2 linked regions of the Stegostoma tigrinum genome follow. The protein of the gene in region 2 interacts with the protein of the main gene of each other region in a biochemical or structural test. Links are inferred from orthologs where the notes say so. Each region holds a gene or a part of one and is shown on either strand. Other genes may lie near its edges.

What was found.
Region 1: the proteins of lrrk1 (region 2) and cytoskeleton-associated protein 2-like form a complex in vitro, tested with the Homo sapiens proteins (2 studies listed by BioGRID and IntAct, with this or other methods). The link is inferred for Stegostoma tigrinum from reciprocal best matches to the Homo sapiens genes LRRK1 and CKAP2.

The regions. Positions count from the first base shown.
Region 1 is NC_081359.1:88,411,859-88,418,787, reverse strand, and holds the start of cytoskeleton-associated protein 2-like, read right to left. Parts: upstream 3,001-6,929; 5' UTR 2,959-3,000; coding exon 2,832-2,958; intron 2,809-2,831; exon of another isoform or gene 2,719-2,808; intron 2,519-2,718; exon of another isoform or gene 2,449-2,518; coding exon of another isoform or gene 2,391-2,448; intron 2,178-2,390; coding exon 2,087-2,177; intron 444-2,086; coding exon 377-443; intron 1-376. UniProt on the Homo sapiens protein: Possesses microtubule stabilizing properties. Involved in regulating aneuploidy, cell cycling, and cell death in a p53/TP53-dependent manner.
Region 2 is NC_081386.1:1,579,991-1,587,413, reverse strand, and holds the start of lrrk1 (leucine-rich repeat serine/threonine-protein kinase 1), read left to right. Parts: upstream 1-4,415; 5' UTR 4,416-4,515; intron 4,516-7,423.

The DNA.
Region 1 (6,929 bases), on a different chromosome or scaffold from region 2:
CTGAGTAATTCAAATGAAAAAAAAAGTGTTTACTTCTTTACATTTATCAACGGAAAGTACATAGGGGCCTGAATTCAAATGTCCAATTAATGAACACTCGTACTTATGAGCATGATCCCAGACAATGTAATAATTTTGAAAATCCAATACGTAAACACTTTCTGTACTTTCTATATTGTTCTGCATTGTGTCCCAACTTGCGTACAAATTAACTTGTGAACGGACTCAACTACGGAACCTGTTTACAACCTGGGACAGACTGTCCTGTAAAACTACAACTGTAAAGCTTTCAAATGTAAAGCCAACAGAGCAATTTCTATCCAAAGATAGAACACATGAAAAAGGAGGAAATCTATATTTTTCTTCCAGTACCTACCATTGCCTCTTTCTGCCTTGTAGAAGCCTGAAGTTTCTCGATGTTTGTCTTGTCTCTCAAATACACCCTTCAAAAGAAAATGATGATCAGTATAAATCAGGAAAATATTGTAGTCAGAAATTGCTTGCCTCCTTCAAATCAAATAACTTAAAGAAAACAAATACACTTACCATTAGCATTAAAAATAGTTCAACATCTATAAGGGGAAACATTTTTGAAAAGACATTTTCACTGTCATGACATCACAATGACAAGACAGCATTGTACAATTTCAAATGAAGGGAGTGAAAAGATAAGATTGCAAATTATAAACTGATGCTCATTAAATCGTGGTGAACCAGATAACCTCATCAGGTTATATACGAAGTTACTGGAATAGAACTAAATCAGAAAATAAACAAATGTTACTCAGAATGCTACCAGCATAGATGTAAATAAATTTCTTGTCCGAGGAGCACTAAAGTAAGGCACAAGTACAACAAGCAATTAGGAAGGCAAGCGGTCTTGATTGCAAGGACATTGGAATAGATATCCAAAGTACATTTGGAAAGCGGAGATGGCTTTAGCTGCTGCGGAGGTATAAGGACTTTGCCTACACAGGCAAATTGCAGAAGCCGGGGCCATTCTCTTTAGGTGTTTTAGGAGTTTCTAGGTGTTTGAAATCACAAGAGGTATGGACAGAGTAAAATGTAGTTGTTCCCTTTAGCAAAATGGTCTAAACTAAGATTAGAAAGGGTAAGTGGCAAAAGAACTAAATGAAGACAGATTTGATTGTTTTTACACACAGGTTATTCCAACATCTGGAAATATACAATCTAGAGTGCCTAGTGAAGGCAGATCAAACATGATTTTCAAAAGAGAATTGGATAATTATTTGAAGATAAATAAATTTACAGAACTACAATAAAAAACCAAACAAGCATATCTTACTGCAGAAAGCCAGAGACACAACTTACTGAACAACCAACAGCAGTGATCATGAGACACAGAAGTAGATCATCAAGTCTGTTTCAACATTCAATGAAATCATGACTTGATCTAATAAACCTCAATTCTTCAACTCATTTCTGAAGGGTCTAGGCACGAACCGTCAGCTTTCCTGCTCATCTGCTGCTTCGCCTGCTGTGTTCATCCAGCTCTACACCTTGTTATCTCAACTCTTCTTTCCTGTCTTTTCCCCATAACCCTTGATTCCCTTACTGATTAGAACTATTTGAACCTTATAATCGACTTAACAAACCAGCCTCGACCTAGGGTATAACTCTGCTGGAAATACAGAATCTGCAAAGATAAAGGGCACATTATGACGGCTCAAATAAAATAGAAAGCTGGTATGTCGCACCCGGGGCGGGGAAACAATACAAGATTTAAAATGTCAAGGAACATAGTAAGCCTTTTTGCATTTGAATCTATTTATTGCGCTTGCAGCAAAAAAGTGATGGCTTCAAAATCTCCCATACCCCAGCAGTTATTGCCAAAATTTTAAAACAGGTAGAAGCATTGACACAGAAGGTTAGGGAATGCCTCTCGATGCACAGAATTAGATATTGTGGTGGAGCTCAAACTGGGGAACCTCTGAAAGCAGGATTTAGAAGTGTCAAGAGATAATGGAACTGCAGATGCTGGAGAATCCGAGATAAAGGTGTGGGCAGGAGGGGAGTGTGATTTCACTGGCAACTCAATTTAATACACACAGAGATCATCCATCACCTGTTTTCCAAACGGCTCCTAGCTCGAATCGCCACGTTGTTAGCAGACTTCTTTCTCTGCAGATACTCTTCTAATTTCTGGCGCCTTTGATCTGGGGGTGGGGTAAAGGCAAAAAAGAAGCAGTCATGACACCATCAGTGCAACCACATTTTTAGCAACGGCCAGCAAACTGAAGCGGCAACAGCACCAGCAACGTTAACATAGAAATAAAACAACCGCCTCGATCGACCGTTCCTTCCTAACCCCGGAGCAACATTTGTAAGTGACCCGGTGGAAACCACTCGCCCCAAAAGCACTAAAGTACCGGCGTATGACAGGGGTTGCCGAGGCTTCGCCCCGGTAACAGTGTGAGCGGCTAGCATGTTGCACCTATGTTTGTAAAATCGGAGCGGCTTTCCGCTGCCGTTAACTCTCCCCGCTCCAGCCAATCGCGCTGCTCTGTCCCCGTTTGAATTTCGCTCCCGCGCCACCGATTGGCTGCGCTACCGCCTTCCCCTCGCCCCTCAAAACAAGCCACATGACCTCGCACAAACTGACCAATCCGCTCATTCCGAGACTGGTCAGGCACGTAACTTTGAAATGGCGTTGTGAGCATGCGTAGTTGCGGGCGGGGGGAGAAGAGGCGTGACAAGGACAAGGAGACTATGACCATGTACCGTAGTTGCGCAGGCGTGGGTGTCTGGGATGAGTGCGTGTTCTGAAATGGAATGCGATGTTATAAAGTATGGAATGTGTAAAGCGTTACTTTCTGATTCCTTTTCCTCTGGCTTAACCACGTGTGGCTTGCTGCTCCGCGTACATTGCAAACTTGCCAATTCTAGTCGCAGATAACAAAGTGTGAAGCTGGATGAACACAGCAGGCCAAGCAGCATCTCAGGAGCACAAAAGCTGACGTTTCGGGCCTAGACCCTTCATCAGAGAGGGGGATGGGGACAGGGTTCTGGAATAAATAGGGAGACAGGGGGAGGCGGACCGAAGATGGAGAAAAGTAGATAGGTGGAGAGGAGAATTTAGGTGGGGAGGGATAGGCCAGTCCAGGGAAGACGGACCCGTCAAGGAGGCGGGATGAGGTTAGTAGGTAGGAAATGGAGGTGCGGCTTGAGGTGGGAGGAAGGGATGGGTGAGAGGAAGAACGGGGTAGGTAAGGAGGCGGGGACAAGCTGGGCTGGTTTTAGGATGCAGTGGGGGGAGTGTGGGCAAATTGAAAGGAAAGAAAAAGAAATTGGATTATTATCTAGAGAAAAATTGTAGAATAAAGGCAGGAGAGTGCAAGTAGTTTAACTTCTGCAGAATTATTGCACTGGCACAATGGGCTAAATGGCTGTCTCATGTGCTGTAACCATTTGGTGAACACTTTTAATATTCCTGTAGAACTGTTGTTACAAAGCATGCTTTCTGAATTTTCTTTTTTTCCCCTTCTGGTCAAGTATCCATCATCATTGAGACAATAAAGCTGAGTGTATTTGGGGATGTAGGGAGGAGATAGATCAGTCTGGGGATGATGGACAGGTCAAGGGGGTGGGATGAGGTCAGTAAGTAGGAGATGGGGGTAGGACTTGAAGTGGGAGGAAGGAGGAGTTGGGGATGAGCTGGGATAATGGGAACTGCAGATGCTGCAAGAGCCAACATAAAAGTGTGGAGCTGGATGAACACAGCAGGCCAAGCATTTGGGATGCGGGGGGAGGAGGGGAGATTTTCATGCTTGTGAAGTCCACATTGATACTATTGGGCTGCAGGGTTCCCAAGTGGAATATGAAATGCTGTTCCTGCAACCCAACAACTCATTCTGTTTGCGAACCCTGCAGCCTAATGGTATCAATGTGGACTTTACAAGCTTCAGAATCTCTCCTCCCCCCACTGCATCCCAAAACCAGCCCAGCTTGTCCCTGCTTCCCTAACCTGTCCTTCCTCCCACCTTTCCCCTCCTCCCATCTCAAGCCGCACTCCCATTTCCTTCCTACTAACGTCATCCCGCCCCCTTGACCTGTCCGTCCTCCCTGGACTGATTTATCCCCTCCTTACCTCCCCACCTACACTCACCTCTATTGGCTTCATTCCTGCCTATTTGACCTGTCTGTCTCCTCTCTGCCTATCTTCTTGTCATTCCATCTTCTATCCACCTCCCCTTTCTTTCTATTTATTTCAGAATCCTCTTCCCCCTCCCCCATTTCTGAAGAAGGGTCTAGACCCAAAATGTCAGCCTTCGTGCTCCTCTGATGCTGCTTGGCCTGCTGTGTTCATCCAACTCTACACCTTGTTATCTCAGATTCTCCAGCATCTGCAGTTCCTACTACCTTCCGGACTCTTATCGAGTTCAACAACTTTAGGGCTTGAGCTCTCCCATATACTTACGCCAATCCCCCCACAACCAGGCCTTGCCATCGCATAGGCTGACGTTACACAACCCATTGTTAGCAACTAAGAATCCCCATTAATAGCTGGAAGCCAGATCATTATCACTCCTTTAAATAAAAACCAGAACAACTGTGGATGCTGTAAATCAGAAACAGTTCTGAGGAAGGGTCACGGGATCTGAAACGTTAACTCAGTTTTTTCCTTCAGAGGTACTGCTAGTCCTGCTGATCTTTTCCAGCAACTTTGTTTTTGTTCCATTATCACTCCTTTGTCTGTCTAAGGGCTCTTCTCTCTCTCTCTCTCTCTCTCTCTCTCTCTCTCTCTTTGGGCTCTCTCTCCACTTATCCTTTACTCCCTCCTGTCCCTTACTGGACATAAATGGACATTTTGCTACCTACCAGCAGTTTTGAGGAAGGCTCACTGAACCAGAAGCATTAATTCTGATTTCAGTCCACAAATGATGCCAGATCTGCTGAGCTTTTCCAGCAATTGCCATTCTTTTTGCTCCCTCCAACTGTTGTTGGAATCCACCCATTCAAAACTGGCTGGCACAGACCAAGTTGAGAGGTGGCATAGAAGGTGCACTGCCAGTAGGCTGTGTTTATCTTCAGCATGGCACGTAAAGCTGGGTTGCAATATCAAAAGTGTTTAGGCTTCGAGTTTCAATATAGCTATGAAATGGACTGGTGCAATAAACAGTATAAAATGGCATAGTCATGTCATATAGTTCTTACAGCATGGAAAAAAAGACCTTTCTGCCTATTGTCTCTGTGATTGTCATGAGTCATCTATCTGTTCTAATCCCATTTTCCAGTTCTTTGCAGTGTAACCTTGTGTGTCTTCGATATCTTGCTGGTTCCAGTCTGTACTACCCCTTTTAGACAGAGTTCCAGCTACCTACCAACTTCTAGGAAAATCACAAGATCCTCAAATCTCAAAACCACCTGCTCTTTACCTTTAAAAGCCTAGTTATTGACCCTTCTGCTAAGCAGAAATGTTTCTCCCGATCTGTCCTGTCAACGCCCTCAGAACTTTATACACCTCAAATCGGGTTCATACACATACCCATCTCTCAATCTTCTCCGTGCAAACTACCTGCAGTTACTTAGTCTCCCTTCATAGCTGAATCACTCCAGCTCAGGCAACATCCTAATGAATTTGCATTACACCATCTGTAGTGCAATCGTAACGTTCTTGTATGTGAGAACAGGCTCCTGTATCAGAGGGTGATAACCTATAATGGTGTTCAGTCCTTGAGGTACTTCAAAGACACTTGCAGCTCAGAAGAGTTTTTTTGGAGGTTTGTAGGGCATGAAGATATTTTTGCACTAATGGATAAGGTCTGAAATGCACTTATTGTATGGTAGAGGCAAAATCAATTGAAACATTCAAAAGGGAATTAGACTGTAATCAAAAAAGGAAGTTTGTGCAGGATTATGGGGAAAGGGCAGGAGTATGGTACTCAGTGATTCGTAATTGTTTGTAGCACAGAGGCAAATATGAGCTGAATAGCTGTCATCTGCACTGTAACAATTCTTTGATTCTGTATCATTACAGAGGTAACATCTTGGCTCTGAAGTGATTTGGACAGGATATAATGAACTGAGTTCTGAGTGAGCTCAACTTTACAGAAAGATAGGCTCATGAATGAGAAAAATGTTCTAAAATTCTGTATCCTGTGAAAGCACACTAGGTGGCAGCAATTTAAACTTAGATCAAGTGAATCCACTAACGTGTATCCGTTATGACCTCTTGAGACCCTCAGTTACAATGCTGTTTTGAATTCAAACCCAGCTATCTAACAGCTGTACTTTTTCTGCTGTTTGTGTAGAATCTAACTAAATAACTAAAATAGTGAGTGGTATACAAAGCTGTGTAGAACGGATTTGAAGACAATATTAATGATATCAAATTAGTTACTATTTGATGTGTAAACATTCATGTAGAAGATGAGGCTTCAGGGCTTAATATGTTTTAATATTATTGTACTTAAAACATTGCTAAAGGGGGCAAGTTTAGATAATCAAGGGGTAGCTTATAGAAACCTATAAATATTTTAACAGGACCAGACAATGCAAATGCAGGAATGATGCTCCTGATGACTGAGGAATCCAGAACCAGGAGTCACAGTGCAAGGAGATGAGGTAGGTTTTCATTTAAGATGAAAAATTTCTCCACCCAGACAGTAGCGATCCTTTGGAATTCACTGCCACAGGAAGCAGTTGAGGTCAAAAGATTGAATGTTTTCAAGAAGGTGTTAGATCTAGTTCTTACACCTAAAGAGATGAAAAGGTAGGGGGATAAGCAATAACAGTATATTGAGTTGGATTAAGAGGTGGCCTAGTCCTGTTCTCATTTTCCATGTTGCCAGTAAGAAGTTAAACCTTTTCATTTTGTACTCAGCAGAGGGATGCAAGAAGCAGACTTGAGAAAAAAAGGACACAATTGCACACAGCATGAGACGAGGGTGCTGATTATTTGGTTATCA
Region 2 (7,423 bases):
TGCTACACAACGACCGAGCAAGTAGAGAATTAACAAGACCGTGCACTGGAAGAGAAAGTGAATTAGAAATACAAATCCAAATACTTGGATATAGGCAAAACTTTCTAATATGTACAAACAGGTCAGATCATATAAAGTCATTTACTGATCATGGTGCTATATTGTGAAGGAACAGAAGTCAGCTCAGGCCAATGTACAAATCACTGACCATAGTTGAAGAGAACGAGGAAGAACACTCTGATGATAATATGTAGAATGATAGCAATGAACAGCAAGACAACCAAGTTTTCAAAAATGTCTAACAGAAAACAACAAGTATGTCTCCAGTTGCAGACACGATCACCAGATCAGGACTAGTTATCAAACCTCAAAAGCATTACATTGCTTTCTGAAATGTTAGTCTTGCAAACTCTGTTTTACATTGTCTATATGATTATTCAATTAACAACACATAGATCATAGATCATAGATTCCCTACAGTGTGGAAACGGGCCCTTCGGCCCAATAAGTCCACACCGAGCCCCACAGCATCTCACCCAGATCCACCCCACATAACCCACCTAATCTACACATCCCTGAACATGACGGATGGAATCAAACCTGGTTCCTTTGCACTGTGAGGTTGCAGTTCTAAACACTGCGACACCATGCCGTCCCATTAATTGATGAAAACAACTGTCGCCAGGCAAAAGCAAGCTCAACATTCAGCAGACTCATCCATAGAAATCCATAGAAACCCTAACCCTATCGCAGCCTCTCTGATGAAGGGTCTAGGCCCGAAGCGTCAGCTTTTGTGCTCCTGAGATGCTGCTTGGCCTGCTGTGTTCATCCAGCCTCACATTTTATTATCATAGAAATCATGGAGTTGGTTTTGAAACATATATCAAAATTTACCAGGCAGCAGTCATCACATGCTCATGTAAAACCATGTTCATCTATTTGATTTTGCTTTGTCTTAGGAAAAGGGCGGTGTTGTGTTACATACCAGAATCAGCATGTCAGCATTTTTTTTAGATTAATTCCCTACAGTGTGGAAACAGGCCTTTCGGCCCAACAAGTCCACACTGCCACTTGAAGCATCCCACCGAGGCCCATCTCCCTATAACCCACACACCCCTGAACACTACGGACAATTTAGCATGGCTGAGCCACCTAGCCTGCACATCAGTGAACTGTGGAAGGAAACTGGGGCACCCGGAGGAAACCCACGCAGACACAGGGAGAATGTGCAAACTCCACACAGACAGTCATGCGAGGTGGGAATCAAACCCGCGTCCCTGGTGCTGTGAGGCTGCAGTGCTAACCACTGAGCCACCGTGCCGCCCTAAAACATGACTTCCTGAGGCTGAGCACTAACCGGACCAGGAAATATAGGCTGCCTCCAGACTTGAACTCGGATCGCAGTGTTCAGAAACCCACGTGCTCACCATTACACCATGGCAGCCGGAGCGTGTTTTTAAGAGATTTGCTAATGATATCATCACTGTTTCATTGCATATGACAAGAGTACAAATGTCTCATCCTCCATCTACCTTGGATCACTTGAAGCATGACGCTCCACTAGAAGCATGCTCCTCTGATGTAACCTAATAGCTTAATATTAGCACTGACACATATATGCCTGAGAAATGTAATATTTATACCTAATAGTTATAATAAACATCTGCTAGATTCTTCAATACTATGTTTCAGTTAAAATACCGTGCTGACAAACTAGGCATTAGACAAACTAACGCCACATCAGTTGCAATGAGTTGGCACTATATTGGCATAGGGGCTACAAAGTGTGTGGACTGAGTACAGCAGCATTGAGGCTTTCAAGTATCATGAGTGCATTTATGGGCACAGGTAGGAATGGAGAGTAAGTGGAGCTCTGGGGTTAGGTTCAGTGATGAATTTAGGAACACGGTTTGGCATGGATGGGGACGGGTCTACGAGGGGCATGAGGGCTGTTTTATGATATTTTTAAACTTCAACAAATTGCTAAACTCAGAGGATCCTGCCAACTCCACACTTACCGGCCTCTGTGTTTGTCATGCAGCCCATCTTGCATAACACCTGCAAGCCCCAAAATGAAAATCCCGGCTGCCTCCTGGAAATTGTCCTGATTCTAAGCTCTTGACCTAATAGTGAAACTTCAGACTCAGGTCTACATTCTACTGGAGAAAATTCTCCTGAACACGAGTGGAATTCTCTTTCCCCTCTTTGCCCTCTACACTGCTACTAGCCAGTCTATATTTGTACAATTAAAGCCCTCTACTCTCTAAAATTTCTTTGGGAATTTGTTTTGCTGCAACTTTCCCGTTAGTTGGTAGTCAGAAGAACTACCAAAGCAAAGTAATCGCACAGTTTTTTTGTTCCTTAACTCTAACCAAATTGATTCTGTCCTTGACCCCTTTGGGACATTCTCATTTTCCAGCACTGAAATGCTCTTCTTGATTAATACCAACAGACCTTCCCTTTTCACAGTTTCCTCTCTTTCATGATCAGCTTGTATTCAGGAATATTAAACACCCAGTCTGGATGTTCCTTAAGACAGGTCTCTGCATATGTCCATAATACCAAACTTCCACATGACAATCTGTGCCTATCAACCTATTTACTACACTCTATGCGTTCCCATACATGCTTACTGACCTTGACTTAAACTATATTACTTTCTTCTTTATTCTCAACTCACCTGATAATTTACTCTTTCCCAGAATTTGTGCACCTTGATAGTCTTCTGTGATATCAGTTCCTGGTTCCCACACTCTCTTCATCCACTTTTTTTTCTTTGTCTTATTCCTTTCTTCCTCTTCTTTTCTCAGTTTTTAGTTTTAGCTCAAACTTACCTGATAAAGAGAGCTCTTCAGTAGGAAGGCATTTTCAATAAGCTCCAGAGCGGAGGCAGCATCTTCAGAGGCAAACTTCAGGTAAGTTTGAGCTAAAACTAAAAACTGAGAGAAGAAGAGGAAGAAAGGAATAAGACAAAGAAAAAAAGTGGATGAAGAGAGTGTGGGAACCAGGAACTAATATCACAGAAGACTATCAAGGTGTCTACAGAGTCGGCCAGCCTATGAAGCCTGCAGTGGGCCCCTGGGGGGGTGGGGGGGTGGCAGCACGGCACAGGCTGGTGTAGTACGGAGTGAGACTTTGGCAGCGGCATGGCATGTGCTGGGAAACCTGGAGCATGACTTGGGTGGCGGTAAGGCATGGCAGGGAAGCCCAGAGTGGGATTTTGAAAGCGGCATGCTATGGACTGGTGAAGCAGAGAAGGAAAAGTTGGGCTCTCTTTAAGTTATCTTTCTTCACTTTTTATTTCAAATGAATGTGAATGGTGTCTATGCATGGCAAAGGTACACACTTTTCACTGTATTTTATACTGAATACATGTGACAATAAATGATTTGCTTCAATTCACTTCAGATCAAAGGAGGCAGACCCTGACAGGGGCCAAGGGCAAACAGTGGAAGGAACGTGCAAAGATTTAAGTGTCTCAGCCATCCATTCACCAGCTTCAGCAAACAGCACTGTCCCAACTACAAAAGGCTTTGTGGATCCAGCACTGGACTTTTTACTTACTTCAGGACCCACAACACCAGAACAGAAGATCATGTCCAGAGTGTGTCTTGATGGACAGAATCCATGTTGTGGCAGAGGGAAGAGCTGTCATTCTCGATTCTGAAGGACTGCCTGAGGAGAAGGATATGAAATTGACTGAGAAAAGGTTCTAGTTTGACCTTGTTGGCTGGAAACAAATGCTGAAGAAAAAGTGAATCTTTAAAGCCAAGTGGAAGTCATCTCCTGACAAATTGTTTTTCAAAAAGATGTGCTTGTCCAAAGGAATTGTTTGGGATGCTAGGGAAAGGTAATGTTGCTTTTTGATGGTTCAAGAGATTAAGGTCATTAACAGTCCCATTGAGCTCACCTGAGGGAGCTGGGAATCCCATTTTCCCAAAGCACTTTCCTTGGGATTCCTTTTTCAGCTGGTTTGAGGTGATAGACCTGGCACTGTCTATGGGCACTGTGTAGATCTGCTCGTTCCAATGTCAAATGCTGCTAGTGAGAATTACAGCACCAGGGGCAGCTCTTTGAGGAATTTGACAGTCATTCCATTACAGGAAAGGTGATGACAGAGGTGAGATGTCGATGGTGGACAATGTCAACGGATGGTAGAATCAGGAGGTGAGTCTGTAAGAGACGGATTTGAGTCTCTGCAGGCAATGAAACTGAGAAAGGTTGAAGATGGAGAGGAAGAGAGGAGAGAAGCTAATGAGTGAGGGGGTAAATTGGTGGAAGGTGGAGACTGGAAGAGGGGAGAGTCGGAGGAGGGGTGTGGGGACGCTGAGGGAGGGAGATAGGCGAAGGCAGAGGGAGGTGGGACTGAACCTGACGCTGACTCCTCCCTGGGCACTGTCCTGAACTCGTGTCTCCACCCACATCCTCTTTCTCACTTCCTCATTGCGATCTGTGACTCAAAAGAAAGTGGACCGTCGGTAGGTTCCCGGTCTGGCCGTGTCTCCGGCTCCGCAGGTAAGGGGAGCCGCAGCTTAATGTTGGGTTTCTGACAGTGCTTGATTCGGACTAAGCTCTGCTTTGTAAAGACCCCCGTTGTTAGCAGTTTGCCTGAGGAGCAGGTTGTTTCACGTTGACTCACAGGCTGTAAACCTGCGGTTAAAGTTTTGGGAAAGATTGCTCAATGCACAACGTTTCAAAACATTGTGTAGTACCCGACAAATAGGTGCTAATTTCAAATTTTAGGATAACCAGGAGATCAATACGTTACCAGAAAATTCATTTTAATTTTCACGCCAGTTGTTTATGTTTTATATAATTCATTCACGGAGCGTGGGCGTCACTGGCTATACCAGTATTTATTACCTATGCCTAATTGCCTAGAGGGCAGTTAAGAGTCAATACTAGGGAGATAGCAAGAACTGCAGATGCCGGAATCACACTGCGGTGTGGTGGTGGAGGAACCCGGCAGACCAGGCAGCATCGGAGCAGTAGGGAAGTTGACGTTTCAGGTCAGGACCCTGGATCTGGAGTCACATGTAGGCCAGACCTGGTGGTCTAAATTCAGACTATTCTCCAGTTCTTGCTTGAAATGATTAGCAGTAATAGCTTATGGGGTTGGTTAATACTCTTGTTATTTATAATTTCTTCATAGTGATTTGGGGGTTAGATCACAGGTCAATCCGGTGTTTGGCTATAAGATGTAGGGGCAAAATTAGGCCACCTGGCCCCATAAATCAGCTCCACCAGTTGATCATGTTTCTCAAATCCATTCTTCAGCCTTCTCCCTGTAATCTTTGGTCCCCTTTACAGATCAAGAACTAAGTCTGACTTAAATACAACAGTACATATTGGAAGTATAGGACAAGTTGAATCTGACCACAGATAGTGATCAAGTCTGTTTTCACCAACATCCATATATCCACACATCTCAGCTGGGTACTCGAGTTTACTCCCTCAGTCCAAAGATGTGCAGGCTAAGTGGATTGGCCGTGCTAAATTGCCCATAGTGTTCAAGGATGTGTAGATTAGGTGGGTTTGGGGAATGAGTCTGGGTGGGATTCTCTGAGGGTCATTGTGGACTTGTTAGGCCACTGTAGAAATTCTATGGATCAGCAACATGAACTAAGCGTAGGTGTTCGACAAAGCTTTGTGGAACATCTAGGCTTGGTTCATGACAAATGACTGCACCTCCCAGTCGCTAACCGCTTCAACTCCCCTTCCCATTCCTTGGACGACATGTCCATCTGGGCCGCCTCCAGTACCACAACGATGCCCCCGAAGGCTGCAGGAATTGCACCTCATATTTAGTCTGGGAACCCTGCGGCTCAATGGAGTCAATGTGGACTTCGCGAGCTTCAACATCTCCCTTCCCCTGACCTCATTCCAAAACCAGCTCAGCTCATGTCTGCCTCATTGACTTGTCTGTCTTTTCTCCCACCTATTTGCTCCTTCCATCTCACTGATCAACCCTCATCCCTGCCTCCTTGACCTGTTTGTGCTCCCTCAACTGAGCAATCCCCATCCCAAATCCCTACGTACACTCAACTTTACTGGCTCAGTCCCTGCTGCCTCGACCTGTCTGTCTTCTCTCCACCTATCTGCTCCTTTATCCAACTTCCATCATCGCCTCCCCACCTCTCGTTCTTTTTTCATTGTCCCCTATCCCTCCCCCATTTCTGAAGAAGGGTTCAGACCCAAAATGTCAGCTTTCTTGCTCCTCTGATGTTGCCTGGCCTGTTGTGTTCATCCAGCTCTACACCTTGTTATCTTTAACTAGCAACTGTTTTTATTACTTGAGAGGATTGTGGCTCTAAACTGCCCACACTTCTGGAGCTGTGAACCTTATCTCTAGCACAAATGGGACATGTCAGATTAATTATAGCCTCATAAATCTTCATCAAGATAAGAATGGGGAAAAGTAGAGTGGCTAGAAGCAGCTAAATAATAGTCTTAATCTTAGTGACAGAGAAGTTGCTGAACTCTTGGACTTACTGGAGGGAATTTAAGGAGCTCAGAATGGAGTTGAGGAGATAGTAATGCAGAAAAGGAGTAGGGTTAATTTTGTTCTCCATAATGGTACTGGTTAATAAGTGAATGGCCACACAGGGATTGATGTGGCCCAGCTAGATCTGATGATGAATTGCTAAACTAGTTCTGTGTTGGACCTATTCAAGTCTGTGTCCTTTCTGATTGTGTGAATAAAGATGGGACAATATTAGAAAATACTAATAAAGAATTTTTTTTACAACTGGAATTGCTGCTAAATAGGGAGATAGCGAAGTAACTAAGCACTTGGACAGTAGTGGAAATATCCTGGTGAATAGGCCGCTTAAGGGTTTGAAAAAGTTGCTTCCACGGTGAATGCAGAAGGATGTTGCTTGAGAAAGTGGAAGTGGAGCATGGGTTGCACGAGAAAGTGAACAGAAATTCTCACTAATGTTCTGTGGTCGAGACAACGAAACTGGAGAAGCTGGGAAGCTGGAAAGGACAAGGGAATGGCCATGACTCTGTGAAAGTTAGAGACAGAGGATGGCAGTGAGATCAAAGAGAAACGGCAATATTGTGGATTGAGGTCGAAATCCATACAGTCTGAATTGTGTCTTAGTATAGGGAACAAGGGGGAAAAAAAGATTGAAGGAATGTCTTTGAGAGAACCTTTGAGTGAATGGGAGAGTGTGAACATTTTGGAAGGGGTATGGTGGAAGTGTGAGGACCTCAAAGGAGGAGAAGGTGCCTTGAGCATTTAGTGGGAACAATCAAGGTACTTTGGAGTGCAGGTACATAGTTCCTTGCAGTTGGAGTTGCAGGGACACAAGATTGTGAAGAAGGCTTTTAGCATGCTTGCATTGAGTATAGAAATTGAGCTAACAAGGTGCGGAGCTGGATGAACGCAGCAGGCCAAGCAGCATCTTAGGACCAGGAA